4 linked regions of the Caenorhabditis elegans genome follow. The protein of the gene in region 4 interacts with the protein of the main gene of each other region in a pairwise test. Each region holds a gene or a part of one and is shown on either strand. Other genes may lie near its edges.

Region 1 (7,233 bases), on a different chromosome or scaffold from region 4:
GGTCACTGTTTTCATAAATTATTGTTATTTCTTCAATGAATTGGTTTACATTTTCATGTTTCTTCTTCTTTTCAATTTTGATCTACCAAACCTTTGCAAAAAGGCTGAGCCCACGAGAAAACCGGATTCTACGAGCAAACTGTGGAAGATATGTGCCAGGATTTACCACTTTGTCCTCTCATCGCAGAACTTCTGAGGAATACAAGGCATTGTACGGTAAAGAAGTGAAAATTGGTGAAGCCCCATGGGCGGTCTCATTGGCTATGAAGAAGCGAATTTCTGATGGCTCGGGATCTTTTAGAAACGGCGGAAATAAGTTTTCGGAAAATGAATTTGTTCAGCATGGAACCGGAACATTAGTCTCTCCATGGCATATTGTAACAGCTGCTCATTTGATCGGAATCAGTGAGGATCCTCTGCCTGACTGTGATACTGGAAATCTCAGAGAAGCGTATTTCGTGAGAGACTATAAGAATTTCGTGGCATTCGTTAATGTGACATGTGCGGTTCCAGAGATGTGTAAGGGATTGCATAGGAAGGATATGTTCAAGCCACTGGCGATAAAGTCGGTGAGTAGATTACCCTTACAATTAGGCTTAGGCGTAGGCTTTGGTTTTTTCTTAGGCTAAGGCGTAGGCCTAGTCTTAGACGCAAACCTAGGCTTAGGCTTAGGCTTAGACGTAGGCTCACTTAGTCTTACTAAACACATATTTTCTTTACAGCTCTACATCCGAAAAGGCTATGTCGGAGATGGTTGCATTGATCGAGAATCATTCAACGACATCGCCGTGTTCGAATTGGAAGAACCCATCGAATTCTCAAAAGACATATTCCCAGCCTGTCTTCCATCTGCTCCAAAGATCCCGAGGATCAGAGAAACCGGATATAAGCTTTTTGGTTATGGAAGAGATCGTAAGTTCCGATTTTTATGTGATCTTTTGAAATTTTTAATTCCAGCTTCGGATAGTGTTTTGGAGTCTGGAAAGTTGAAATCGCTATACTCGTTTGTTGCGGAGTGCTCCGACGATTTCCCATATGGCGGGGTGTATTGTACGTCGGCAGTGAATAGAGGATTGTCTTGTGATGTTTGTTTTTAAAGTTTAAAAGTGTTTCTTCAGAAGTAGGCAGAACAATGCCTACTTGCCCAAGATGCCTAATAGTTTCCACTGATTCCAGGGTGACAGTGGCTCGGGAGTTGTCCGAACATCGGACACTCGAAATGTTCAAGTTCTCGTAGGTGTTTTGTCAGCCGGAATGCCTTGTCCAGAACTCTACGATACCCATAATCGTCAACGTCAGCAACGGAGACAGCTGACTCAAGAGACTGATCTTCTCGTGGATGTCTCGGCACACGTGGATTTCTTCTGCACGTGCTGTGGAATGTGCAGTTGAAAGTTTAAGATTCAAACATTTCATTTCGTTTTTAATATAAGAATGCTGAAATAAAAGTGAACGTTGAGTAATTAGTTAATTTACACAAGAAAGTTTTTGAAAAATCTGATTTCAATTCAGTCCTGCATCTATTCAAGTTTGCGATTGGCGTTCTGAAAGTTCAAAAATTAGAAATTCACATCTCTATCACTTACGTAAATGTTGATTTGATTCTTGAGCTGTGCAGTGAGCACTTTTCCAAACACAATATGATTGTGAGACGCGAGGATTTTTGCGGCGGCAAGCGCGGCCTCCGATGGGTCCAACACTGTAGTACACCCGATTCCATTCGGCATTCGGAGTGATGACCAAATGTCAAGACTCGTTGATTCACTTGGTGGCGGGCAGTTGATCACCTGAATTCTTTGAAATAAAGATCATCTGATCTTTCAAGTCCTACCGGAAGAGACGAGTTTCCAGCAATAACTGGACCGAGTCCATTGGATCTTCCAGCTACTGCAATCACAACTGTCGGAACTCCACTTTCTTCGAAATCAGCGATAACTTCCAGAGTGTCCGAGGTAGTTTTATGAGCTGAGCTTACTTTCAGCGTAGTTTCCAGTCCAAATTTCTTGGCTTCATCAGAGATTTTCCGTGCGAATACGCCATCCGAACCAGATCCCATGATCACAAGAACATGGCATTTTTGCTGGTGTTTTGAGAAGGTGGCAGTGATATCCATAACCTGGAAATGTTATTGGTAGGTAGATACGCCTTCGTGTCTATGTGCCTGCCTACCTACTCAACGTGTCTACCGAAAATTGTAGGTATGCATATTGGCAGAAATCAGGTGCAGATCGCCTTGCAGGCAGGCAAGTTATTGTGCTTACACGAAAGGTTTGATTCGCGTAAAAATCTAACAATTGATATATAGGATGATTGAATTTAGGTTTAGGCTTAGGCTTAGGCTTATGCTTAGACATGGGCTTAGGCTAAAACTTAGGATTAGGCTTAGTCTTTGGTTTAGGCTCAGGCATAGGCATATGCTTAGGCCTAAGCTTCGGCCTACTAACCTTTGTATAATTCTTCAAAACGAGAGCCAACCCCTCTTCTGTCACTTCCTTCATATCCCTGTAAACTTGCTTATCCAACTGCAGACGTCTATCATTTTCAGGCCAAACTCTCCACGAGTCATTGTCAATCACGTCGGCCAGGAGAATTTCTCCTTCAACTGTGACTCCGAATTCGATCTGGAATTTTCAGGTTTTCTTCAAAATTATTTCAAAATTACAACAACCGACAATTGTAAAATTCAGCGAAAAGAAAAACACACTTCTCCTCGTGAAGTACTCAAGCTGCGTAAATCGACACGTTACAGAAAACACCCAGTTTTAAATGGTGCTGATTTCCTTTCAAAATGTAAATATTTACAAAACGAATATATTGCAGACCGAACATTAAACTTACATACTTTTTATTATGTTTACTTTTTAAAGTTGAGACCGATAAAAAAAAAGAGAATAATAAAAACTTTGCAACACCCTCACCTTCATATCAATCAGAGCACTATTTGAAAGAGCCCATCCTTTCTCCAATGCTCTAAACACCAACTTTGTCATCTTCTTCATCAATGAAATCTCTTCTCTTCCAATTTTCAAATGATCAATCATCAAACCATTCGACACAATTTGTTCATCAGTCCATTGTGGATCATCATTAGCGTCGTCTTTGAAAAATGTCTCCAATTTCAGATCATTAAATCTGAAACCCTCTTTAACTCCAGGATTTCTCTTCAAGAAGGATCCTGTCGCAACACGTCGTGCCACCCATTCAATCGGAATCATGGTGCATTTACGGGCGACAAATTCAGTTTCAGAGATGCTTTTTTCAAAGTGTGTTGGTAGACCGAGAAGTTGAAGATATTCAAACACGTTTGATGTGGTTTTACTTGCGATTCTAGACTTTCCTTCAAGCTCATTTTTACGGACAGCGTTGAATGCGGTCAAGCTATCTTTGGAACGAATGAGCACATAATCCTGAAAAGATTTTGTTCAGAAATTGAAAAAGTTGGATTCAATTTTGTTGAAAAGCACATTATTATCGCAATCCAAACGGAAAAATTCAAATAGATTTCAAATTTACGAAATTGACCGAGTTTTTTCTAGGCTCCGTGAAAGCTCAGACACCGTTTTTACAGGAAATTTTCCGTACGTGTATTTGAAAAATGTGCTGAAAGAGTGGCCGAGTTTTCTCATTTCCTAGGCCACAAGCTGGCTATTTGCGGCGTGGCCTAGAAAACGTGAAACCTCGGCCACTCACCGACAGTGAAAACCGAACATTTCTTTCAAAGATTATTTTGAGCATACTTCTGAAAAATCTCTTCTGATAATTCGGTTGGCCGAGTTTTCGTGTTTCTAGGACACGCTTTTCTGAATATTATGTAGACGCATAAAAATGTGACTTGGGCTGCAAAAGCGCGCCACGGATAACTGAAAACCGGGTCTCGTTAGGTATTGGCGGTAAAACCGTATAATCCTACTTTTTTGCCGATTCCAGCACTTTCCAATCATTTCTCGTTGTTTTTAACGATTTTTATGTTGAAAAATGCAAAAAAAATTGGGTGAGATCGTCAAAAATTCACGTTCCCAACGAGACCCAACGTTTTGGGGCGGAGCTTGTCAGATTACTCGCGGAGCGCGTTTGCATCACGATTTCAAAAGGCGCTTTTAAAATATCTAAATTTTAATCTATAAAGCATTAAAAAATTAGTAGAAAATTAATGTTTTCCCAAATTTTTTGAATTTTCAGTGAAAAAAACCAACCTTTTCTCCTTTAATATCAAAGATTTGCTTGGTTTTTCCTTCAGCAAGAAGCTCCAAGTTTTCGGGTCTCGACGCGATTTCAGCCAACGACGACATGACAAACAATAATAGTATCGAATGAAACTGTGTTGCTATCACGGAACGATATCAGAACCCCCTTGTAGGCGAGTTTGTCATCGACAAACATCTTGTTTTCAGCCTTTTTCCCCGTCTTATCAGTTCGGTGTTGCGCCACTGAAAATACAGAGAAAACCGCCGCCGCCAGTCATTGTGAAGCTCTTTCTTTGAAAAATCACAGGTTTTCAAAGAGCAACTTGTGTATATCGATAATCGTTTATACGAAAACGTAGAGAAAAGAGGAAAAATAAGGAAAACGAAGGAAAAAAATGGGAGATTGGGAGAGAAAATGTGGAGAGAAAGAGGGGAAAAAGAGATGGAAAATGAGAGAGAAAGGGAGCAATTCGAGAACAAGATGACGAAAGTGGGATATAGAAAATTTGCACACGAGAGATCATCTTCTTCTTGTTTAGTTTGGAGTAGCTCGCGCCGCCGATGGAACGGCTCCCGGTTGCACATTGATTCCTCCGATTCCAGCTGCTCCAACACCACCACCACCCATAACTCCGTTAAGACCCGCTGGTGCCGGTGGAGTGATTTGTCCGCCACCGCCGCCACCTGTGCCGAGCGTCAAGTTATGCATCTGAAGCATCAGACCCGTCTCCGGACCGCTCGGAAATTGTGGTCCTTGGAAAAAGTATTTGTAGGGTGTCGGTTGTCCGGAAACTGATTGCGGCATTTTCGGCCGATCCTCGAGCTCTTTGTACTCCAACTTTAACTCTTTCGGAATTTTTCGCCATTGCATCTGATCGAACACGTTGTAATGCCCTTTTTCATAATTTCCCGTCTGTTCTTTCACTCCACCGTACTGAGAACGCGTCAACCACACCTGTTCGCTTTTGTGAAATCGCCATTCGCGAGCGTACCTGCAAAAAATTTGAAAATATAATGATTGTTTCGTGATAAAAAAGATTTTCTCAATTGCTAACATAAAATATATGTTTTTTTCAATTTTCTAGCTAAAATTTTAAAATTATTAATAATTTGATTCGTGAACTTCGACCGCGACGTAACTGCAAACGGAGCGGCTCAATAATTTTTATTTTAACTTTTCGCTAAGAACGCGTGATTCACATGATTTTTCATAAATTTATATATGAGGCGAAATAAGAATCAACTAAAATGATGAACAATTATGCGATCTTAACGAAAAAGCGGATTTTCTTGAAAGTTTTTCGCCCAGAACGAGTGATTTTCTATCATTTTGGCCAATTTTTTATGCGTTTCATATGTAAATTCATGAAAATCACAAATTCTCGGGGAAAAAAAAAAACTAAAATAAATTTTTTAAACACGACGCTCCGCTCGCGGTCATGGTCGATGCAGGTTTTTGGAATAAACTTTACTTACAATTCGCACGCCGCCGCCACCTGATAAATCTCGTTTGGACAGTTGTAAAAAAGATAGAATAACACGTCTTCTGAAACTTTATTCAATCGCAGCGGTGGAAGTTTGTCTCGAATATGATTATGCGTCATGTACTCCTCGGGCACCTTCACGTCGAGCTCGTGTGCTCGAATCGGCGAATCGGCCCACGGACCACCAAAGTTCATGTACAATTTTCGTCTGAAACAGAGGGAAATTAGAGTTTTTCTGGGCTTTTCGGGCTTTTCAGGCCACTACTCACTCTGACAAATTCAAATTCAAGCCCAACGTCGTAAGATCATAACCTAACGCCAGTGAAACAATGGAAGGATTGTCAACTGTCCGAAGATATGTCACCAAACCCGCCATCCCAAACTGATCGTCAAGCATTGACGCTGGAATGTTTGTCACTTCGCCTGAAATTAACAATTATTATTTTAAATGCTTATTTTTAAAGTATTCCCACCATCAGGATGAGTAATAATCCCATGCATAGGTCCTTCTTGACTATTTCTTGATATCCCGCTGAGCCGCGAGGGGTCACAATCGCCTAGGGGTCCAGCAAAGTCGACTTGATGGTCGTCTGCTAACATCTGCAATAATTTATCGATTATTTGATTGTCATCGACGCAGAAATTTTGTTGACATTAAATTAAATTTAAGTACGTTAGCCAGTTGATCTCCAAGCATTGATCGCTGTGTTTGACCAGAACCGACGCCGGGAAGCGCGGGAAAATCCTCGTTCTGTATTTGGAACTCGGGATTTGTTAGACTGGGGTCCGATCTCATCAGGTTAGCTGAAAATTAATTTTTGCATGGTTTAACAACACAGGAACACGACAAAAACTGCGAAAATTCGGAGAATTTTTATGGAAATTCTGAACGAAAAATCTCTGCGGGGTACGGTCGATCATGGAATACGCAACCACCGTCACGGACTTTTGCACACATTCAATATTGATTTTTCTTAAATAAAAAATAAAATTTTCCAAAAGAATTCGGCGGTTTTTTCTCGAATTCATCGGAATTTTGCAGTAAAAATGAGTAAATTTTATCAGAAAATTTGCGTTTTGCCTAAAAACTCACGGAAAGAAGTTGCCAACATCGAAAAATTGCACAATTGCGTTCAAAACAGAATGAAACACGCATTGTAATTTTTAAAATGTTCAATCAGAATTTCGCGCGCGCGCATTTTCAAAGAGCAAACAAAAATTGATTTAAAAAAAAATATATATTCGCGGTTCACAACCAGCTATCGTACTTTTTTTTTTAATTTTTGATACTTCATGCTTTTCATCACACAGAAAGAGAAAAAAGTAAAATTTACCATAATTGGGTCTTTGTGCGCCGTAAAGATCTCTCGACGGCGATGACTGGGCAACGTTCAAAACACCTCCGCTCGTTGTTGGGATTGGGGAGAATCCGCCGCCGCCGAGTGAGGACGTTCCTGAATAGAAATCGATGAAATGCCTTGAGAAATGAAATAATTGTTCTAATTTTTTTTAAATATTGATAAAAAGGATGAAAGATTCAAGGAAAACATTTCCGTGGACTTCCA
Region 2 (6,791 bases), on a different chromosome or scaffold from region 4:
CACAAGGACAAAACTGTCGCTGAACCGGTGAGAATTTTATCATCTTGAAATAAAATTTTTGAGAAGTTTCAGACCAGATCGAGACTTATCACAAAACTAGCACGTCTGATGAGCAGGGAGAGTTTCAGTGACGGTAAGTTTTGTAGAATTATTATGGTCTTGCCAAGAAAATTTTATTTTCTTCCTTTCCAGCTAGCATTGAGGAGAAGGCGTCTCCGACAAGGAAGCTGTCGCATGGTAGTTTACAAACGTCGGCGCCCGGGCCATCCAGGTAATCACGTGGAGTCAGAAAGTCCCAATTCGTTTTGATTTTCGAAAAATGCGGAAGGTGAGACGCAGACTTCTCAACTGATTTCGCATGTTAAGACCTTGCTGACGTTACAATTTTTCTGGGGAAAAGTTCCGGCATTTTTTGTAGATCAAACCGTATTGAGACAGCCTGACACCACATGGGTGTCTACGTTCAGTTCAAACTTTTATGCGCAAAATCTAGAAACAGGTGTTTTTGTGACATTAACATTTTCAATTGCTAAAAATAAAATTATACAGTTTCCAAGTAATAAATTCAGAATCACGGTACCAACACGTTCCACTCAACTTCGAATCAACACTTCACACTCCCGCGAGGAAGACATTGACGAGTCGGCTCCTATTGAAATTTGTGACATTAGTTTGGATTTTGTGAATAAGCCTGATGAGTATTCTCCGATTAATGTTTCTAGACATTTTTGAATAAGTTACTTGAGTTTTTTTTCAAAATTAAAATATTTCACTTCGGGCAGTGACTAAGAAACATTTAGCAAAAAAATGTTTGCACTAAACAAAAAATGTTTGCACTGACCAAAAAATGTTTGCACTGACAAAAATGTAATTTGCTGGGTTCATTAACATTTAGTTTAGAGTTTTCCTATTTATCAATAACCTTATACTCAAATTTTGTTAACAAAACGTGAAAGTTTTCAATTGAACAATTATACAAAACAGTTTTGTTAAACCTTCGTGCAATAATTTGAATAACATTTATTTCATTTTTTAATTATAATGTATATTTGATCACTAATAAAGATATCCCGATTTAAAACAAATATTCATTTCATGAAACAAAGTTAATCACAATATCAACAAAGATTCTAAACCAAGCTACCTGCTTACTTTGAGGGCATAGTTTCAGATTTTTTCATAGACTTTCAAAAGTATACATTAATTAAATAAAAATCTCCAGAAGTTTTAAAATCCACGATATAAACCGTCAAAGTAAAAAGTCTAAATTTAATCTACATACTAAATCCACCGGTAACTTCCAAAGTGGCACCAGTCACATATGAGGAGAGATCAGAGGCAAGGTACAAGACGGAGTTGGCGATTTCCTCGGCTTCACCCATCCGGCCCATTGGAATTCCCTTACAGATTTCGGCCAACACAGTCGGTGGCATTGCCTCTGTCATTGGGGTCTTGATGAAGCCTGGGAGCACTGCGTTCACACGTACGTTCTGGAAAAAATTTCAGTAAGATGGTAGTGGTCAAAAGGCGATTCCCCCGAACATGGTGCATCGAGATTTTAATTTTTTTTTGGTATATCTACTGAATATTTAAAAAAAAACGTTTAAATTAATTTTCCAATAATGATAGCTACATTTGAAATGTTTTCTATGTACAGCCAGTACCAGGCATGCAAAATTCCTTTCAAAACATGGTGCATCGAATGCTTTTTAACGTCGTGAATACATAGTTCTCCAAAGTTCAAAGCGGAATTGAACTATTAAGTTCAGGCCTCAGTAATCATGCAAAATTCATTTTGCAACATGGTGCATCGAAAAGAAAAAAAACTATGCAGTTTTCCAGTTTTGACATTTTTCTGGCAGTACATGTTAATTTTTAAGACCTAATCACTAATGAAATTCTCAATAAAAATTTTTTAGCAGAATATAACAAAGCTCATTTTAAAACATACGTAGTGCACCAAAAAATAATTTTTCGTAACAGTTTGAACATATTTGAACATATTTGAACATAGGAAAGTCTAGTGCATTTTATTGTTTTCGACGTGATACTTTTTTGGGAAACAAAACTTTAGTTTCAATTCGTCAACGAAATCTCTTTTTTATTGCTTTGTCTATTTTAAAACATAGTGCAACAGAGGTGTGCACAAAAAAGTATGGGCCGGTAGATTTAGATATTTTTCACTATATTTTCGTATAAATTTTATATTATATTTCTATTTGAGATTTGCCGCAAAATCAGAAACTACTCACCTTTTTCGCCAACTCTTTCGCTGCAGATTTTGTGAACCCGATGACTCCGGCCTTGGTGGCTGCGTAGTTGGTTTGGCCGAAATTTCCCATTTTGCCGACAATTGATGAAACATTGATAATTGATAATGGGTGGTTGTTGTTGTCAACTGATGCTTTGACAAATGCTTGGGATACCTGAAATTGTATTTAAAACATTTTGGAACTGATGTAAAAATTAGTAACTTTCAAGTAGATATTAAATTTTTGTTTTATAGTTTTTTTTTCATGCTGAGCAAGCTTTCTTATCTGACAACCAATGGTAAAATTTGGGGGAGAGTCTAAAGTTGTGCGCCGTCACGATCGGTAGTCGCAAGTCAAAATTTAAAAAAAAAAACTGTAAAAAGGGTATAAAATATTATTACCTCTTTGATTTTGTTATCTTTATTCTGACAGTGTTTCAATCACTTTTAAAAAATAATCTAGGATCACACTGTATCGGAAAACTTTTTCGCCTCAATTTTCAGAAAAAAAAACTCACATGGAAGACTCCGGTAAGGTTGACCTTAATGACACTGTCCCATTGCTCCTGCTTCATTTTTAGAAGTGTAGAATCCTTTAAAAAAATTTTTGTTTCTTTAGTTCGCTAGACACATATTTTGACTCCAACAGCACCTTTTTAGTAACAAAGGATTACTGTAGGTGTACGATTTAGGATGAATTTGTAAAAAAACCGAACCTTTGTGATCCCTGCACAATTTACCAAAATCGACGGTGTTCCCAGCGATTTTACATGCTCACTGAGCCCCTTCACACTGTCTGCATTTGACACGTCACAGGCAAACGAGGAATGGCTCTGGCTAGCTGGAAGAGCCTTTGCAGTGGCTGCAGCGTTGCCGGAATCCAAATCGGCAACTACGACACGAGCTCCATGCTTGGCCAACGTCTGCGAGATGGCCTTGCCGATGCCGGATGCACCACCTGAAAATTGGCTCTTTTTGGTTTTTGCTCTTTTTACATTGTGAGTTCTGAAAAACGCTATAAATATACATATAGCGTAAGCTACCGTATTCTATTTCCCACACTTTAACATTCATTTTTTCTTGGATTATGAGAATAAAAACATTTTTTATTAACGTTTTTTCTCAGGACTACAGAAAAAATGTGACTTTCGAGTACGTTTCATGTTGCAAAAAGCTGGAAGTGAGCAGGTTTTTTGTGAGAGTAATTTCTGGGGGTTTCGGTTTGATCTAGTCAGGTGGTCAGTGCACTTGGTATGTTTTTTGCTTTTTACGGACCAAATGCACTGACTAAACGTGTGAAATGCACTGACCAACTTCAATGTCAACTCATATTTTACTTCTTTTATTTAACTCACGAAACGATATTTGCTCAATTTTTTTATTTTTAATTCTCAAAATCACTACAATTTTTTTTAATTTTTGCTAATTTTTTTTCCAAAAAATTTTTTTTTCCTTCTATTTTAAACTTGAAAAATATATTAAATTAGGTGTTTGCAATTTTTTTTTCAAAATAATTTTTTGCAAATAAAACAACTCACCGGTAACCACAGCAATTCGTCCTCCCAGCAAAGCACTCATAATTACCGACTGCTCGTTGCCCAAACTACAGAGACACTGGTGCGCTGTTTCAAACGCTAGATGATCAATATATACCTTCCCCGACAAGACAGTACATGCAAATGAGAGGTCACAGACACTTGGACGTTTGTCTATGACGTCATGCAACCTCTCACTCTTCAATTGTCTCTTTTCCAACGGGAAAAGTTTGACCTCGGAGGAACCTAGTGATGTGTGATTAGTGACTTGTGAAGTTTTCGGGAGTTGTAAACTTGAGAATTGGGAACAGCTCGGAATCACCCGATGATAGTGTGACTTCAAGATTTTTTCAGGCCGTTTTATCAAAAAATTACATGTGCTCAACAACAAAAAAAATGTCAAGTTGTTTAGTGCAAATTAGTTAGTGCAAAATGGCCAATGCAAATTGGTCAGTGCAAATTGGTCAGTGCAAAATGGCCAATGCAAATTGGTCAATGCAAAATGGTCAATGGTCAGTGCAAAGTGGTGTCAGTGCACTTGGTAAGTTAACGAGTTGCATAAATAGTTTGAATGTTTACGGCGCAATGAACACATTCAGAAATTAGTTTTGCAGTTCAAACTGAACTTAAAATTCCAATTTAAAAATATTTGACAGAAAATCAACAATTATGGCATGCAATTTCATACAAATGTGCGCAATTTGATAAGTAAGTACTAGTTGAAAATAAATCACAAAACCTGAAAATTTGCATTTCACATGACGAAAGCACAGTTTCCAATGCTTTTCACTGATAAAGCAACAGTTGCACACTTTTGAATTTTATGATGCCTACTTATTTCTTATTTATATCGATTTTTATTACCTTTATTATACCGGTAGCTTCGATACAGTGCTGGGCATTTTCACAAATGGATTATGAAGGCAAGACGCATACAGTCGGTAAGGTAAGGAAAATGAAAAGTTGTTTGAAAAAATAATTAATTTTGAACATTTATATTACTATAAAAAATGTATTAACTAAATTGAGTTGTTGTTGGTCAGTGCAATTGTTGAAAAAAACGTTTACTTCATTACTCTTTTTATTCAATTTTGAGAGGGACCTCTACCAATTCATAAATCACAAGTTCAAGCTCCCCTAAATCTATCCAGCCTTAATCTGGAAGTGGAGCATTAGAGGACTGGATTATAGGCCTTGGTCCCCGGCTTGAACAAGGCTTAAACTGAAACAAGTGCCACCAGAAAACTGAAACGGGCTCCAACCTTTCAATCATAACTATAACAATGAAATTTCAGACAGCTATCACCTGCAATGGCCTTTATTGTTTGACGCTTTCTGAGCAAGCATCTTATTTCACAGTGTTCAATGGAACGTGTCCCGATCCGACAGTGTCTATTACAAATTGTGATGTAAGTTTTTAATAGCACATATTATTTTGAGTTTTCAAATGTGTTCAGCGTTGGTTAAGTAATTTTGCTCATTTGATCTTAGCTAACTTTAGTAAAAATTCAAGCCAAAAGCGTTTTCAAAACTGCTGAGAGGTCTACAAAAAATATAATAAGTTTCAGACCAACGGAGTGAGCTGTCAAAAGGAAAAGCTTGGTGATGTTGATGTTAAAGCGTGTTGCTGTAATTACGATTTCTGCAATTTATCAGGACAGAGCTTTACTACTTTTTCAGCAATATATGTTTTTTGCATGTTCTTTTTCCTATTTTGAAAATTTAAATAATAAAAAATTGACAAAATAAAAAGTCAATTTTCAGAGCCTCTCGTTTAAACCTTTCCATAATTTTTAAGCCTGAAAATCCAATTTCCAGATGAGGCCTGTTTAAGGCCTATGTTAAGACTAGGTCACCACAAAAATTTCAGGGACAGAATTCAGCTCTGAACCCCTAAAATTACCGTTGGAAAGTGTTTCGGTTCATTTTTGTACTAGGTTCAAAACTCAAGAAATTGCGATTGAGATGGTTTTTTCATTTAAAAAATAAGAGTTTTTTTTTCATTAAAACAATCTAAAAATACATATTTCGGCCGAAATTTTTGGGTAAAAACCTGTATTTTAAACCTTTTTTTAGTTATATAAGTTTTTGAACACAAAAGAAAGCTAAAAAAAAAGGCCCGTGCTAAATTTTTTTGGCTTAGCATTTCTTAAGTTCCAGAAAATTCCATACTATACCATGCTTTATTGTCTAAGCTGAATAAATATCATCAAATTCAAGAAAAATACATTTTTGTAAGCTAAAAAGTAAAGCTCATGGGGTGCAATATTAAAGTTGAGAGTAGAGTACGGGAAATAAATTAATGAACAAGTTGAGAAAAAAAACCTTGTGAAATTATTGCTTGGTTGGGGGGAGATAGGGGACTTTTAGGGTACAGTGATTAGAAAAAATTGGAATGCTTCAGTTGCTTGGTCCAGGAGAATGTTGAAGGGTTGCGGAATTTACTGAAAATTGTTCATAATTATCATTGAAATTAGATATGAATTTTTTTGAAACTTGGTCAGTGCGTAAAACCTTAAGCAATTTATATTCAAAACTTTACCAAGTTGCTCTCCGGCATAATGTAGGAAATATCATCCCATGGATGACGGTACAATCCCTGCTTCAGACGCGACTGATCCAAGTAGTGACCGATAAATCCAATAGATCTACCCAAAACGAAAAGCCCATTGAGCGATCCAATCTCGATTGTCTCCTCGGCCTCCTGCTTGGTGAACATGCCACTGTGGCGAAGGATATCGACGAATAAGATCGCAATCGCTCCGTCCACGTTGAGAATGAGGTTCGGTTTTTTGGCGGTCGTGATCTTCTCGACCTCAAGAGCATACTCGAACAACGGCGTCTCCTGGGCAAACTCCTTCTTGTCCATGGCAAATCTTTTCAGAATCTCCACACGTTTGTCAGGGTTGTTGATCTGGAAATTGACAATATTTGAGCTCTTCGGTATTAGACGTTCTATTTAGAGTACCGACTTGGATTACGCTAATTCTGACAATACTGACACT
Region 3 (6,256 bases), 3.1 Mb from region 4:
AAATGGGTCAAAAGTTGCGAACAGCTCTTCGAGGACCTCCAGTATTCCGTGATGGATCAAAATTCCGATTGAGTCGACTTCTAGAAGGACATAAAGATGGTGTATGGCATGTGGCAGCTGATTCGACAAGAAATATTTGTGCAAGTGCGAGTGCAGATCAAACCGCCCGTATCTGGTCATTGGAAAGTGGAGCCTGTCTGGCAACATATACTGGACACACTGGAAGTGTCAATTGTGTGGCAATCTCCAATAATTGTGCTGTGGATAGTACTGAAGGATCCGGACCAGCGTCAGGACTGTTGCTGGCGACAGCGAGTGGTGATGAGTCAACGCATATTTGGAAGGTTCCCAGTAATAATGGTAAATTTTCAAAAAATTCTTAAAAATTGCAAAGTTTAGCGCTGAAAGTCGCCTAAAATCGCTGGTTTGCCAAAAAAGCAGACAGTTTCTAAAAAAAATAAACAAAAAAGTTTTCAATAGTTTGAAGACTATTGAAAACTTTAAAAACGATTTTACAAAAATTATAGTTGCCAGAAGGCGAAATTTTCGGATTAAAAAAACTTGAAACACAGTTTTTTCAATAAGATTTTGAAATTTCACCGAAATTTATTGAAATATTTTTTAAATTCTTGTATTTTTGAAAAAAAAACACCTAGAAAATGGGCGGGACATGGTAAGCCCCGCCCACAAAATGGACTTCTTCGGAATAATAAACTTCCCTATAGCTATAACTATTTTCAGCTCCATCCGATCACAGTTCCGAGGAAGAAGAGGAGCACCACCGAGATCCGAACAACTTGCTCGGCGTCGTCGAACACAATCGCTTCACCTCGTCCAGCGAAAAATCCGACGGTCATCGGATCCGTGTCCCTGTTATGCGGCTTACCGGACATCGAGCTCCTGTTAGCTGTTGTGAATGGCTTGCTGGAGGACAGCAGATGGTCACTGCTTCCTGGGATCGAACGGCAAATGTTTGGGATGTTGAGAAAGGAGAAGTTGTGAATATTTTAAGTGGTAGGGTGTCACAAAACGACTTTAAATTTCAAAAATGAATAATTTGCAGGTCATGAAAGTGAGCTTAATCACTGTAGCACTCACTCCAATCAAAAGCTCGTGCTCACCTCATCCAAAGACTCCACCTTCCGCCTCTGGGATTTCCGAGAAGCCATACAGTCGGTCGCAGTGTTCCAGGGACACCAGGATTCAGTGACTTCGGTCAGCTTTAACACGGACTATCGAATCGTGTCGTCCAGTGACGATGCTACTGTAAAAATCTGGGATCTTCGAAACATGCGAACCCCGCTGGCCACGATTCGGCTCTCATCACCGGCGAATCGTGTGGCGATCAGCAAGTCACATCCGGTCATCGCCATCCCAATGGATAATCGTCACGTCAGGATCTATGATCTCAATGGAAATCGCCTGCCACGTATGCCGAACCGCCGATGTCACGAACGAATGGTGACGTGCTGTGCATGGCTCGACGAGCATCCTGCCAACAATCTGCTCACCGCTGGTTTCGATAGAATGGTCGCTGCGTGGAAAGTCAATACAACAACTTCATAATATTTAAACTTTTTCTATTTGTTGCCAGAAAAGCTTTGTGACATTTTAGCCATGAGACATTCCAGTTTATTTTTCACATGTAAGTAAGTAAGTAATTTTTAAAAATGATAGCGTGCAAATAAATACATTCAGCTAATAAATTTGGCAAGCCGTTCGGCCAAACCCTGCTAGTAAAAGAATGATACAAGAATAGTACAAGAATGCAATGGAAAAAAATCACCGTGAAACGTAGAAAATTGGAAAATTTAAAAAAAAGGAAATAAACTTATTGCTTCAAATTCATCATTTTCGGATTCAAACGATCCGATGGTGTTCCATAATCGCTTTCGCCTTCGATTCCGCCAAGGTCCCCGGTTTGAAGCTGCCCGAACTCAAATGATCCACTACTCATCGCGGCAAGCTTCTTCTCCACTTCATTGATCATTGCATCATACTCTGCAGCGGTCTTTTTGGGTGGTACAGATGAGGATTCTGGCTTTGGAAGACGAGCGATTGCTTCAGAAGCGAGAAGTTCAGCGGAGGCTGATGGTGGTGCTTCTTTACCATTTTGAATGCCACTGAGGAAGTCCGCACCGAATGGATCTAGAAAATATTACTTTTTTGAAAAGATCTTTTTATTGTTGAAAACTCACTATACTCAGCTGCAGTGCTCTTTTTTTCTCCAGCTCTGGGATCAAACGAATCATCGAAAATATTACTAGGAGCTTTTTTTGCCGGCTCAGCTGACCCCAACTCCAATCCATCCAACAATCCCGCCGTGGAGTTTTTCGGTGAAACAACGGGGTTTCTGCGTGGAGCAACTGGTGGCGGAGGAGCCAGTGCAGGAGGTCTCGGTGGAGGAATTGATGGAGCTGGTCCAGATGGTGATGTGGATGCCGGGCTCACGGATGGTGATGCTCCATTTGATGATGTAGAAATCTGAGGGAGAGTTGGAGCCATTTCAGTTGGTGGAAGATCGTTGGCACGTGGCATGGAATATATTGAGGATGGAGGAATGTTTGGTGGAGGTCCTTGAGGCATCGGAGAAAGTGGAAGTGCTGGAGGACCTAATCCTGGATAGATTGGGGGACCCTGAAAATGTTATATATTAATAATTTGTTTTGTAATTTTAAAAAACTACCGTGTTCTCATAATCAGCTTTACTATTAGCCCGTAGAGCTTCTGCTAATCGCTCAATGAGCACTTGATTCTCGGTTTCAAGCTCCACAATCTTTTTCTTCAAAATGTATATTTGCTTCTGATTCTCCAAAGACGTTCGATTTTTATCAAGGAATCTCTTGTAGGCGAGATCAAAAGCCTCTCCGATAGTTAGAGTGATATCTTCAGCTAGCTTTTCTGATGTGAACGCGTAACAAGACGGCTTCCCACTAGCACCCTCGGCGCGAGCAATAAATGAGAACATTCGCTTGTCCTGAAATTTCGTTGTTGGGGTTTTTTCCGAAATTGTATGATCGAAAGTGTCAATCAAAGTTATTTTACTGTAGGAAAATCGAAAAATTAATGTTTATTTCTCAAAGTATTTCGAGTATTTTAAATTAATTTTTCTAGCTTCAACTCAAAATCTCTTACATCTTTATCATCAGCACAAAACGATATTCTTCCCAATGGAAAAGTGTACATTGGCGCTTTTGTCTTAATATCCGCAATGATCACATTGTCGATCGAGATGCGAATTTCCACTTTTTGCAGTTTCGCCGTCTCCCGCGTTTGTTCAGATCGTTTCAGATCGCGTTGAAATCGAATCGCGTGGATCGCTTCTCTTGCCACGTCACTTCCATTTGCTTTTGGAGTTTCGACGCATCCAAGGAACCGTGCAACATATTCCACATGGCCATTGATAAGATAATCTGAAAATTAAAGAAAAGAATAATTGTCGAATGAAGATTTTTTAATGTTCAAGATAATTCGAAAAATTATTTTTTGGAAAAGCAAAGACATTTATTTTTAAACAAAAATTTTATGAAATTTTACAAATTTCTAAAGCGACTTTACAAAAAGTTACAAAAAAGGCGTTAAAATTTGTTTTGGGAATTCGTAAAAAAATGTTTATAAAAATTTCATCAGGAATTTTTTTTTGAAAAATGTGTTGTATTACGGCATATTTTTAATAAACAACATATTTTCAATAAAAAGATGAAACAAATTGTTCAAACAATTTTTTTCAATTTTTTCAAAGTAAAAATTTAAAAAACCTGGCGGATGAATCCACGTTCTTCCGGTCCCACCACGATATTTTACTTGTGGTGCACTCGTCGACGGGCTTGAAGATCCTTCTCCATTAATATTATTTCCACCGACAATTCCGGAGACCGATCGTTTGAAGGTCTTGTAAATGTCTTTTGCCATCTGATATAGAAAAAGTTTAGAACATTTTTCGTTTAAAAAAATGGTTCAAAAAGTCTCAAGATTTCGGCGAAGAAATGGGGAGGAAAAGAGCAGAAAAGCAAACTGTGTAAACATAAAGAAAAGAAGAAGAATTGATAAAACGATGAGTCAGCAATGGAAATGATCATGAATTGGAGGAGAAATAGACGGATAAATTGTCGGAAACCGGATGATTCAATGAGTCAGTTGGAAGAGGGATCGGATAGATGTATTAAAGAGAGTCCATTATTAGAATAAACAATTTATAAAGGAAAAGGTTCTTTTGGTGGGTCCGAATGTAAATAGACTTTGAGTAAGTATAAACTTAGAAGTGGTACATAGGAGAGACGCAGATATGTCATCTTGTTGGGGTGAAAATTTTGAGAAATTCTGAAAGAATGTACTTGGAAAAAGAATTGAAATATAGTCACATGATATTTTATTAATTCATCGCAAGAGAAGAGAAAGAAATGAAACTTGTGATCGTCAAAGTGAAAATTGAAAAAAAACAAATTGAAATGTTTTTTGGACTAGAAAAAATTCAATCACGGGCTTTCACATAATATCCAGACAATTTTTGGACCAATAATTCGATAAATGTTCTCGACACGACAAATTTGTGCTAAATACGAGAAGGTGTGCTCCTTTAAAGAGTACTGTAGTTTCAAACTTTTGTTGTTCCGGAATTTTCATTTAATTTTAATGGTTTTTCGGGAAGTTTTTTTTTTAATTTAAATTTAAGTTGATCAATCAGGAAGTATGTTTTCATCGAAAAATCGTGAAAAACTGACAGCAACAAAAGTTGAAAAAACAAAGGTGAAACTACAGTACTTTTTAAAGGCGCACACTCGTGAACCAATAACACGACCATGTGTCGATTTACGCAGCTCGTGTACTTCTCGAGGAGAAGTGGGAATTCAGTATTCTACAATTTTACTGTTTCCTGTTAAAATTCTAGACTTTGGATCATTTTCGCTGATTTTTATTGAAATAAAGAATTACTAATTACTACTTGAAATGACAGTTAGTTTTTTTTTCAAGATTCGAAAACTTTCAGGTAAGAAATTAGCTGTAAAATGGAACGATGCTATTATTATTTAACGCCAGTCACCTATATACAGAAAGTTTCGCGTAAAGTGGGGTTCAGTAAGCGGATAGCCTCGGGTGAGGCTGACAATAAGTGTGCGAACGTGGTCAAGGCCAGTCAACCGGTGGACAAGAGATGCAATGGATCGGTCGGAGACGCAGATATCTTTCCGTCCAATTGGGAGTGGTCTTGTTGTGTTTTTTTTTTTGCATCGGGGGAAAATTGAGGGCGCTGATTTGATGGGCAGACAATCTCATCAGGAAATCATTCAGATATTATAATTCTGCAGAAAATAATCGAGCAGATATACATTTTCTGGCACAATTCGTCAATTCATTCATTTTACTCCGAACCGTACAAACAAATAACGCTACTCTAAATTAAAATTAATTTTTGGAAAAAGAAAATAAATGAACAGCAAAAAGTTTTCTAAAAAAGTGTATCTGACAACAGATAGAGAGAGAGAGAGACGGTGAACGAACAGCGAAAAGTACATAGGGAATCCGAGATGAGGAAGACGTCATCGTTCACTGCTTACATTCTCCACCACGACATACCAGCGCGAGTAAGGGCGTAGTTGGGGAAGGCTTCTGTGCGACCTAGAAAAGAGAAATTGTTTGCAATTCTCATAATGTAAAAACAACAGCAAGTGGAAAACTACTCACCAACTCCGACAGCAGCAAGATCACGATCGTACACATGTCTTGAAATAGCCTCGCGGACAGCTCCAGCGTCAACCTTTTGAATTTGAGCTTCAAGTTCTGACAACTGTCTGAGATTTCCGGTGTAAAGAAGCTGAAAATAATGAAATAACTATCCATAGCATTTTCTGCAGAGTAACAAACCTCCTTAGCGTTAAATCCAGCCTTTTGTGTGTTGGTCTCGAGGTTCTGGTACAAGTTGGTTCTGAATTGGTTCTTGGCCATGGCGACTTCTTCTTCTGTGGCAGCAGAGGCCAAATGCTTCCATTCGTGAGCAACAGACTTCATGATTCCGCTGGTGTCGTTCAAGTCGTGAGCATCAGCAACAAAGTAGATTCCGAACAATCCAGTGTCTCTGAAAAAAAGAAAATAAAAATTTAAATAAGCTTGCAAAAAAAGATACTTACTTGTAGTTGATGTTGAAATGCTGGAGGTTATGGACTCCGTGGTCGTGTCCGATTTTTTGGACAAGTCTGGAAGCAGCTGTTCTGGATGTAGCGTGGGTCACATCCCATTGGCCTAAAACTCATCAAAATTA
Region 4 (9,531 bases):
ATTTGGATGCACCAAGCCGATTTTTCTCGTCTACTAAAATTGAATGTGTCGTATAAATATTTGAATAATCGAACCTACATAATATTACGTTCATCATATTGTAACAAATTCTTCAAATTCATTATTCTCCTCAATAAATTTACTTTAACATTTTTCTGAAGTTTTGGAAGTTCACAAAATAACTATTATAGTAACGCAGAGAAATGAGCTATTTGAAATTGATCTACAAACGTTAATTGGAAACGCTAGGCCCACACTTGATAAGGCAATTTATTGAAAATACATTTCTAGAAAATTTGACAATCGGCACAAAACACGCATCGGGGAAAATTTGAATTTTGTAAATAAATGACATATTAGAAAATACAAAAAACTGGCACATATAAAGCTAGAAAGTGAATTTAGTGAGAAATAATCAAGACCAGAATCAATTTTCCAATTTGACAATATTCTTTGGCAGAATACCCGCTGGCAAAGTCTTGAAAGCTTCCAATTTTCCCTTGTAATAGTAGTCATCAACATCTTCCACAATCAATAAATGATCGCCACGTGTCACATAAAGATGTTTGGGATCTTCGGAATGATAGTCACCAGTGGCAACTGCCTTCTTCGGAGAGAATGCACATGCAATTTCAGCGATTCCTTTTGACGGTGCCTTCTTTGGAGATCCGTATGGTGGTCCCAAGAAGGTCTTCGGAACCATTCCCTGTTGTCCACGACATTCTGCGAGCAACCATTGAGCATCAATGTCTTCCAGGGCTGTGATGACGTCACCTTCGAATAATCGGAGGTCAGAAGCAACTCCAGAATCGTAATCATAAGATACAGTAACGGTTTGTTTGGGACCACTATTGTTTGTAATTGGATGAGAATAAGATGGAGCAGATGATGGAGCTGATTGTTTCATTGGAACTTGATAAAGATTTGGACAATCCACAAATTGAGATGGAAAGATTCCTGATCTACCAAAGCATTCACCTTCTAGCCATTCTTCATTTACACGAGCTGTTACCATAATTTGTGATCCGACAGCGAACTGAAAGAACATTCAGATTTACAAATATTTTTAGATGTCTTTTAAAAACTCACATTCAAATCTCCAGCTTCGTTCGAATTATAGTCATAGATTGCAGTTGCATATGTGCCTGAAGATGATCCAGATGGAGCTGCTGGTCGTGGAGGCAGAGCTGTGAAAGCTTCTTTCAATGGGATCTTGATGTCAAGGTAGGATGATGGAACAATTCCAAATGTGCGCTGGTTTTGATTCTCACCTGAAACAATGGAAGATTATGTATTGAGTAACTAAGTTTCAAACATTTAATGCGATTGTTTCTGCAAAAATCGAGAACATCTCCTCTTACTCCATATAAAAATTAATTTGAAATCAACTAACCATAAAACCACTCCGCATCCACTTTTTTAGAAATTAAAACCGTATCCCCAATTCTCAATCCCATCTCATCAGATTGTGTCGGAGCGTAATCAAACTTGGCAATTCCATAAGGAGTACTGATGGCTGGTGCCGAATAAGACGGGATTGATTGTGTATGACGTGGCACTGGAGGCGGGGCAACTGGTGCAGATGAAGAGTAAGAAGATGTTGAGTTGGATTGATACGATGGAGTTGCAGTAGAAGAATCTGAAATTTTAGAACTTTTTGAAGAAAAAAATAGTCGGTAGGCATGTCTCCAGATATTCCCTTGCCTGTTTACATTTGTACCTTCCGCCTACTTCCGGCAGTTAACTCGATATTAACTCGACATTTATCAGAATATCCAAGCTTTTTGGAAAATTTGGCAATTTACCAAAACGTTAGCTATAAATTTTGAAACATCTAAAACTTCGGAGTGTTTTATTTTGATAATCTTTTGTTTGATCTGTTTTTTTTTAATCTTTCAAAACTCACTGCTTGACATCACCGATCCTCCGATATGCATATTTTCCAATTGTGATCTAATTGCAGAATGTGATCCAGAAAGTTTTCCAGGCGATGTTCCTCCTCGATGTGGTGGTGGTGGTGGAACTGAATCAGACTTTCGATTAGCATCAGCAACTGCAAATGCAGCTGAGATCTTATTTCCACCACTTGGGTCCTTGACAGCATTCAACACTGCTCCACGTGCCTTCTCATCTTGTGCAACATTTTTAGCTGTTTGTCTGACGAATGGATTCTTGGCGGCTGCGATTGCGGCATTCCGAACCTCTGGTCTTTTGGCTGACTCGAATAATGCCTTGGCGGCTGAGACTGAGAAGGTACTGGTATCTGGAAATATGGTTTACTAAATAGATAGGATATGAAAATAAACAAAGCTTGGTTTATTTGAAATGGAGCCTTAACTAATGTTATCACTTGGTTCATAAAAAAAGTTGGCGTAATTGTTTTTCAAATCAAGTTTTATCTGGCCTATAGGCAGGCAGGTAGGCATTTCCTGCTTTCATGGGAGTCAGAATTTTAGCTAGAACTTATGTAGTTATATAATATCTAAATATCGTCTTCAAGAAATCCTTACTCTCAGGACATTTAGATAATACGAAACTGTAAATAAATTTTCAAATCTTACCTTTTGACATGAAAATTGAGCACCAGCCCGAACAAAAGAGCGTGAGAAACCCTAAAACTGCCAGAAAAAGAAATAAAAAGAATGAGAACTGGGGAAATCGATGGATGGAAGAAAAAGGAAAAAGACTAGGAATACGAGAGAGTGTATAAGTTATAGAAACGCAGACAGATAGGCAATGGAAACTCTTGTGTTTGCCGAGAGAATGAGAGAAAGTGACGAATGTATGTTGTGACTAGACACACCTCGGACACATATTTCGACAAATCATTGAAAAAAGACACGTCATTCGAGCATGAGTCATCATAGCTTTCCAGAGCATCCTGTTATTTCTTCTTTTATTGTTTTAAATAGATAAAATATACAGTGTGGGAAAGTTCTATAGGACCCCCCCTAATTTGAAGGTTTGAGGAACTTCCGAAAATTTTTTTGAAAAACTGCTAATGCCATTCGTTTTTAAATTGAAAAAAACCTATATACATTTTTTTCCAGAAGTTTATCTCAAAAACTGAGGTCGCGCTGGAAAAAACGTCAAAATCCAGTGTGAAACTTCTATAGGACCCCCCGTTTTTTTTCACGATTTTTACTAAAATCAACAGATTTTGGAATTTTTGACAAAGCTCAAATCAAGTTTGAGTTAGAAATGAGTTCAGATAAGCAGTTTTGACTTTAAAAAATTAATACGAAATGTTCTCGTGGGATCTCCAGACTGGTTCTGATTCTTCCGATCTTTGATGTTCAAGTCTGTTTCAAGCTTCCTGGTGCTCTCGGTAATGCCAAAACTTGATAAACTCTCTTTAACAAGTTCCTACTAAAATTCCTAGCACACACACCATAAACATTTTTACGCCATCCCCAAGAAACCAGTCAGAAACAGCGTATTAACAAGTTGCAGTTATTTTTGATCAACAACAGAACATTCATATACTAAAATCAAGAAAGGATCAATAGTTAATCGGGTTTCCTTGTGTGCGGATGATCTCAATCAGTCTGTCCTCCATTGATCTGACCAAACTTTTCAGCTGGTTGTCCGGAATAGACTTCCAAGCGTCGAGAATTCCTTGCTTCAACGATGCAACTGTTGGGTAAGTCTTGTTCTGAGCATACACGATACGGACAAGAATCCCCCACAAATTTTCGATTGGATTGAGATCAGGACTTCGAGCTGGCCAATCAAGAAGGTTGATCTTCTTGAGCTTGAAATAGTCGCGGGTTGAGTTGCTCACATGGATTGTCGCATTATCCTGCTGAAATCTAAAGTCTTTTCTGGAGTAGTGACGAAGATATTTGGAGAGCTCCAGTTCCAAGACGTTCTGATAGTCAGTGCTGTTCATCTTGCTACTGACGAACTGTATCTCAAGCTTCTTCTTCTCCGTGAACGCTCCCCAAACCATCACCGTTCCTCCTCCAAAATTACGTCTCGAAAAAACCATTGGTTCCTTGCGCAAATCGCGCCAATAGTAGCGGCAACCGTCAGGCCCATCGAGATTGAATTTCTTTTCATCGGAGAAGACAACCTAAAACAATGATCCTAATTATTCACTCTTGCTTTTTTAAATTCTCACTTTACTCCAATTCGTTCCCATATTGTTCTTAGCAAATTCCAATCGCTTGAGTTTATGGTCTGCAGAGAGTAACGGAGCAGGGCGAAGTTTCTGACGAACGATTACACCAGATCGTTTGATGACATTGAGGATGGTCCTTTTTGAAGCAGACAATTGAAGCTCATTGCGAATATCTCTTGCCGTCTTACAGGAGTTGGAGGCAGCACGAATCACATTTCGTTCGTCACGCACGGAGAGAGCTTTGCGACGAGGAGCTCTTTTAGATGTACCGTAGCTCACCGGATCCTTCAGATACTCGCGAATACAGTGTCGAGAACGGGAAATTTTCCTACTCATTTCATGCAGGGACACATTGAGCAATTTCATAACATCCAGCTGAGCGCGTTCAGTGTCCGAAAGGGCAGATCCTCGAGGCATTGCAAGTTAGACTGCTTTCGAAGTAAGCTTTCCAGCCTCTATATGTGTGCCACAACACATGCCACAATTCCACATTTAATAATTCACGCAAAAAATAGTAAATAACATCTGTGAGGGACAATTTAACTTGAAATATTGGTCCCATGGAACCTTGTAATCAAAGAAAAACGATTTGATTCCTGATAAGCCTTCCATTGTTTCCTGCTGCATATTTTGCCAAATCAGCTTGACTACACAGTCGAAACATCTAAAGTGCGTGCTAGGAATTTTAGTAGGAACTTGTTAAAGAGAGTTTATCAAGTTTTTGCATTACCGAGAGCACCAGGAAGCTTGAAACAGACTTGAACATCAAAGATCGGAAGAATCAGAACCAGTCTGGAGATCCCACGAGAACATTTCGTATTAATTTTTAAAGTCAAAACTGCTTATCTGAACTCATTTCTAACTCAAACTTGATTTGAGCTTTGTCAAAAATTCCAAAATCTGTTGATTTTAGTAAAAATCGTGAAAAAAAACGGGGGGTCCTATAGAAGTTTCACACTGGATTTTGACGTTTTTTCCAGCGCGACCTCAGTTTTTGAGATAAACTTCTGGAAAAAAATGTATATAGGTTTTTTTCAATTTAAAAACGAACGGCATTAGCAGTTTTTCGAAAAAATTTTCGGAAGTTCCTCAAACCTTCAAATTAGGGGGGGTCCTATAGAACTTTCCCACACTGTATATTGCAAGATTTCCTATAATTATCTACATACTGACAAGTGCGAGAACCTTTTCTTGGCTCCAAAACGAAAAATCTATGAACAATATGTGGAAATTTTGTGGTAATTGTGACAGCAAATGTTTTTTAATGAAATTTAAAAAAAATTTCAATATTTTCCAACTTATCAAATTATATTACCCATATGCCAAAAATAGATGCCTGGTCTCGACACGACAAATGCTTGCTGGATTCAAAAGAATATGCGCCTTTAAGGGGTACTGTAATTTCAGACTTTCGTTGCAGAAAATTACAGTACTCCTGAAAGGCACATATTCTTTATCACTATTAAAAAATTAGTCGTCTCAACTTTTCCGATAAAGCTGCCGTAGGAATTTACATTTTCGTGTCTGCCTCTAGCCTTACTGCCTACATACCTGCCTACCGCCTATTTTTGCGAATTTTGCCGTTCGCTCGCAGATCCTGCTTTCAGGTTAATTAAATTTATCTCAAAATTATAATTTCGAAAAGTGGTTTTTTTTTTCATTTAAAAATACATCGAAATTATTTTTAGAATTAATTATTTCTCTAAAAATCTCACAAACATCTGAAAATCAGCATAAAGTTTAAAAAAAAACTTACCAATATTCTCATTTATTCCATTTGAATTTCCAGATGTCCCACATATATTAGGCTTCCGTGGTGGCGTTGGAGGTGGTAGCCTTACCATTATTCTCAATGTTGGAGCAACTATCTATCTGGGTGGAAAAGTGAATCCAAAGGGGGTCTTGAAGGGTTTATTTGCCTCCAACTTTTCTCCATATTTACTCAACTCAATTGTGCTGCTGCCTTCTTCGAAGTTTACAATCAAACATCCTTTAGCACTGTATTTTTTGTAGTCCACAATTGTATAAAAGCTACCAATTTATTACTAGTGAAGTATCTAATGATGATGCAAAAGAAAGATGAAAAACAAGAACCGAGTCAAATATACACAGAACACACGGACGGGGTGGGGGGAATAAGAATTATTGAATAAAATTTCGCAGTATTCGATGTGTGTATGTTTGGATCTTCTCATCCTCTGTCTGATCCGTTTCAAGTGGAAAATTTTGAAAAAAAAACCAAGTGTTTTGATACCCATTTTGTGTGCAATTTTGTTGTGGCTAGAATCATAATGGTTTCGATTTGAAGTGTACAAGAATCTGAAAATTGAAAAATCTATTGCTGAATAAAAACAACTATTTATTTGTTAGCTTTTTAATCGAAACTCAATTTTAAAGCAAAAATTAATATTTCTGGTTTTTTTTCGAAAGCTTTTTTCAAAAGAAAATAAATTCATAACTTTTTCGTTTTCAATTAATTAAAAAGTTTTTTTGAAGTAAATTTAATTTATTTTTCCTAATAAATAAAAACTCACTGTGAAATATAAATTAAAATTTACAGAAGACGAATAGTCTCCTGGACGATTTGATTTTCCATCATTTCATTTTGAACCTCAACAGGATCCGGTTGGCGTCGTCGCTGACGTGAATAAACCACAAAAACGAAGTAAAGAAATACAATAATGAAGATCGAAAAGCCGACTCGATCAAATACATCTGGAAAGTAGTACAGAAATATGCTCACTGCGACCATTTGACCTGTAATAAATATTGCGTTTTGACGTGTTTTTTTTTGAAAATTAGAATCACCTCCAAAAATCCAAAATAATGTTGAAGTTTGCAAATGAGTTTCCTGATCATCATCATCTTGTTCCAACAATCCATTATCAACAAGTAAATTGCATACCCATTGGCTAATCGTCAGAAGTGTGGCTGGCCGAAGTAGATCTCGAATTCGATCAGGACGGAAAAATGCCAATCCAATTCCAGAAAGAATTGGAACCATTGTTGATAAAAGTAAATAGATCTGTCCAACATTTCTGTCCTGCGCAGCTCTTCTTCTTGCTGTTGTAACATTCTCATCAACTACTGGAACACTTTCCGACGGCATTGGAGTTGTGTCACGTGGAGCTCTGACGGATCTTCGAGGTCTTCGTCGAAAACCATTATTGACAATTGGAGGAAGAGTTGCTATTCCTGGTCGTGTATATGGTGTTGTACTAATATGACAATGAACTATACTTCCTGGTTGAAGACCATATTCTTCTAGCGTTCGATGATCTTCTCTGAGAAGTTGGCCTGAAAAATTCAGTTAAAAATTATTTAGGCTTGAAGAAAAGACTTTTAATTTTTTCAAATAGTTTTTTTTAATATTCATTTTTCCATTTGATTTTCAGGATTATGAGCCAGTGGTATTAAATTTTGGGAATTCTATAAAACTTTCAACTGTGGCACGTTTTCACAATTTTTCCAATCTATCAAATTATCAACAAAATAAATTGCGGTCGATAGGTACATTTTTGTGTCTTTCAACGAATACTTTAGATATAGGCCAATAAAATTGTGTTCTATATTTTCAGAAATTTTATGGAATTCGCAAAAAATAATCGTTAGATCTTTGTTTTCACTTATTTTTTATCATTTTTGAAATATTTTTTAAAAAGCTTTTTTGCCAAATGCCAAACATTTGTTTTCATTAATTTTTTTAAACTTTAAAATACATTACTAACTGTTTTTACTTTACATAAAAAATTAAAGATACCTTGATAAATGAGCCGTATGACCTGATTCGCAAGATTTGTGAAATGATCTACTTTGAACTTTGCTACAGTATCCTCCAGTGATGCATACGTGTTTTTCTCGGTATCATTCATAAACTTTAGCTTTATCAAAATCTTCCCTTCTGATGGTCCTTCGATTACTGGAAATTCGGATTCTTTAGTTTCTTGAAGAACTTGCTCCGGTTGAGCTTCTACTTCTTGATCATCCAGTGGCGGATCCTCATTTTGCTCAACTTCGACTTGCTCAATTTCTTCAATAGGACCTCCTCTATCAATTTCAATTTCAGTTTCTTCATCATCATCTTGACCTTCTTCTTCTTCATGATCTTCTATTATTGCATCATCTGAACTATCGTCATCGTCATCCTCTTCATCATCTTCTTCCTGTTGATCTATCACAATATCTTCTGTAAGCTCTGGTGTATCAGCGAACACTTGATTTGTTGGAGGCTGAGTTTGTGTTACATTTGACGTTCTTGTTGAAAGATGATGTTGCATATCCGGGTTTATTGCTGAAAATCCATACATTTTTAATTTTCAGGCGGGGATTTTACTTTTAATTATAAAAAAGGCCGGAATGACCGAATGTAACTGTTAAAAAATTAAGAAACTGATTCTAATTTTTTAAATGAATTAGTTTCATCTCTTCTCTAATTTTCAGGCTTTTCCTACAAAAAATTGAAAATAAATATTAAATTGTCGATTTTATGTCATATTTGAAGTTTTAGCTAAAATTGTTCGGGTAAAGTTTCGAAAAAAAGCAATATGAAAAACTTACATGGAGTCGTATACGTAACGTCTGTAGTAACGTAATCATGTCGTGAAGAATTTTCCTGAACCAAAATAAATTATTTTAAAATCAATTTTTTTTCTTCATTTACGCTGGGTCTCGACTCATCAACTCGAGTATTTCCAGATCGTTCTGTTGGTGGACGAAGTTGAGGCCTGTACGTTCGAGACATCAAAGATGCGTCGTCTCTGGAAAAATACAGAATTTTTGAATGTTTTAAACCTTAAATTAAACTTTTTAAAAACTAACCCTCTAGCTAAAATTGCTATCGCCGCTGCAGCAGCATACTGACTATCCCTTGTGGCGTCAGGCACGTGACCAGCACTCGGTGGCGGCATTTCAATGTCCCATAATGTTATTAGGTCAACGTCTGGTGATCTGGAATTGGAAATATTAAACATTTGAATACATTTTTAAAAGTAAACCTTGCAGGAGCTGGTGAATCAATAACCGTATTCGGCGACTGTATCACAATATTTGTATCAGAAATTGCCACTCTTTGCTCTCCTTGAATTCGTGGAGCTCTTGCCCTCATTCGTTGAACTAATCGTTCCCATGTGACGGGCGGTGTGAACTCTTGACCGAGATGAAGAACCTGTATTTTGAAGTTTAGAAATTTATTCGAAATTTTCCAATAGTGTTTTTCGTTTTTTTTTTCTTTTAATATTTAAATAAAATTACCTGCACCATCCTCCTAGTTGTCCAAGTGTGCATTTCTACAACAAATAAGTTATAATATAAAGGCCTTCGAGCAGAGATTTGATATGATAAAAGTGCACATGCTATGATGATTAATATTGCGACGACTGTGCTTAGCTGAAAATAGTTTTTTTTAGATT

What was found.
Region 1: the proteins of B0303.7 (region 4) and paic-1 interact in a two-hybrid assay, tested with the Caenorhabditis elegans proteins (one large-scale study listed by BioGRID).
Region 2: the proteins of B0303.7 (region 4) and dhs-25 interact in a two-hybrid assay, tested with the Caenorhabditis elegans proteins (one large-scale study listed by BioGRID).
Region 3: the proteins of B0303.7 (region 4) and ced-6 interact in a two-hybrid assay, tested with the Caenorhabditis elegans proteins (one large-scale study listed by BioGRID).

What each region holds. Positions count from the first base shown.
Region 1 is NC_003280.10:4,368,227-4,375,459, forward strand, and holds paic-1 (Phosphoribosylaminoimidazole-succinocarboxamide synthase), read right to left. Parts: upstream 4,300-7,233; 5' UTR 4,290-4,299; coding exon 4,194-4,289; intron 3,682-4,193; exon of another isoform or gene 3,612-3,681; intron 3,408-3,611; coding exon 2,919-3,407; intron 2,622-2,918; coding exon 2,445-2,621; intron 2,117-2,444; coding exon 1,832-2,116; intron 1,788-1,831; coding exon 1,587-1,787; intron 1,545-1,586; coding exon 1,521-1,544; 3' UTR 1,399-1,520; downstream 1-1,398. Other genes in the region: try-9 (Peptidase S1 domain-containing protein), read left to right, coding at 264-569, 723-912, 958-1,085, 1,177-1,392; ntl-2.1 (NOT2/NOT3/NOT5 C-terminal domain-containing protein), read right to left, coding at 4,720-5,176, 5,661-5,876, 5,938-6,091, 6,142-6,268, 6,342-6,472, 7,003-7,122.
Region 2 is NC_003284.9:1,483,613-1,490,403, reverse strand, and holds dhs-25 ((3R)-3-hydroxyacyl-CoA dehydrogenase), read right to left. Parts: upstream 3,873-6,791; 5' UTR 3,830-3,872; coding exon 3,790-3,829; intron 3,210-3,789; coding exon 2,968-3,209; intron 2,845-2,967; coding exon 2,770-2,844; intron 2,427-2,769; coding exon 2,253-2,426; intron 2,088-2,252; exon of another isoform or gene 2,067-2,087; intron 1,491-2,066; coding exon 1,275-1,490; 3' UTR 1,078-1,274; downstream 1-1,077. Other genes in the region: F09E10.5 (Globin family profile domain-containing protein), read left to right, coding at 1-27, 73-133, 193-271, 570-732; D1005.10 (C-type lectin domain-containing protein), read left to right, coding at 4,219-4,327, 4,443-4,498; D1005.4 (Activin_recp domain-containing protein), read left to right, coding at 4,613-4,732, 5,082-5,195, 5,355-5,504; acly-1 (putative ATP-citrate synthase), read right to left, coding at 6,317-6,700.
Region 3 is NC_003281.10:5,593,427-5,599,682, reverse strand, and holds ced-6 (Cell death protein 6), read right to left. Parts: upstream 3,913-6,256; coding exon 3,759-3,912; intron 3,414-3,758; coding exon 3,136-3,413; intron 2,978-3,135; coding exon 2,687-2,977; intron 2,638-2,686; coding exon 2,199-2,637; intron 2,149-2,198; coding exon 1,832-2,148; 3' UTR 1,612-1,831; downstream 1-1,611. Other genes in the region: wdr-37 (WD repeat-containing protein 37), read left to right, coding at 1-360, 742-1,014, 1,064-1,566; ucr-1 (Cytochrome b-c1 complex subunit 1, mitochondrial), read right to left, coding at 5,552-5,616, 5,683-5,812, 5,863-6,073, 6,126-6,243. UniProt on the Caenorhabditis elegans protein: May function as an adapter protein in a pathway that mediates recognition and phagocytosis of apoptotic cells during normal development. Promotes engulfment of cells at both early and late stages of apoptosis.
Region 4 is NC_003281.10:8,690,091-8,699,621, reverse strand, and holds B0303.7 (SH3 domain-containing protein), read right to left. Parts: upstream 6,001-9,531; 5' UTR 5,968-6,000; coding exon 5,880-5,967; intron 2,678-5,879; exon of another isoform or gene 2,572-2,677; coding exon of another isoform or gene 2,562-2,571; intron 2,264-2,561; coding exon 1,907-2,263; intron 1,640-1,906; coding exon 1,394-1,639; intron 1,272-1,393; coding exon 1,090-1,271; intron 1,037-1,089; coding exon 428-1,036; 3' UTR 101-427; downstream 1-100. Other genes in the region: sdz-1 (Skn-1 dependent zygotic transcript 1 protein), read left to right, coding at 1-56; B0303.4 (transmembrane and ubiquitin-like domain-containing family 1 protein), read right to left, coding at 6,678-6,880, 6,932-7,420, 7,884-8,414, 8,681-8,735, 8,784-8,880, 8,942-9,070, 9,118-9,287, 9,374-9,508.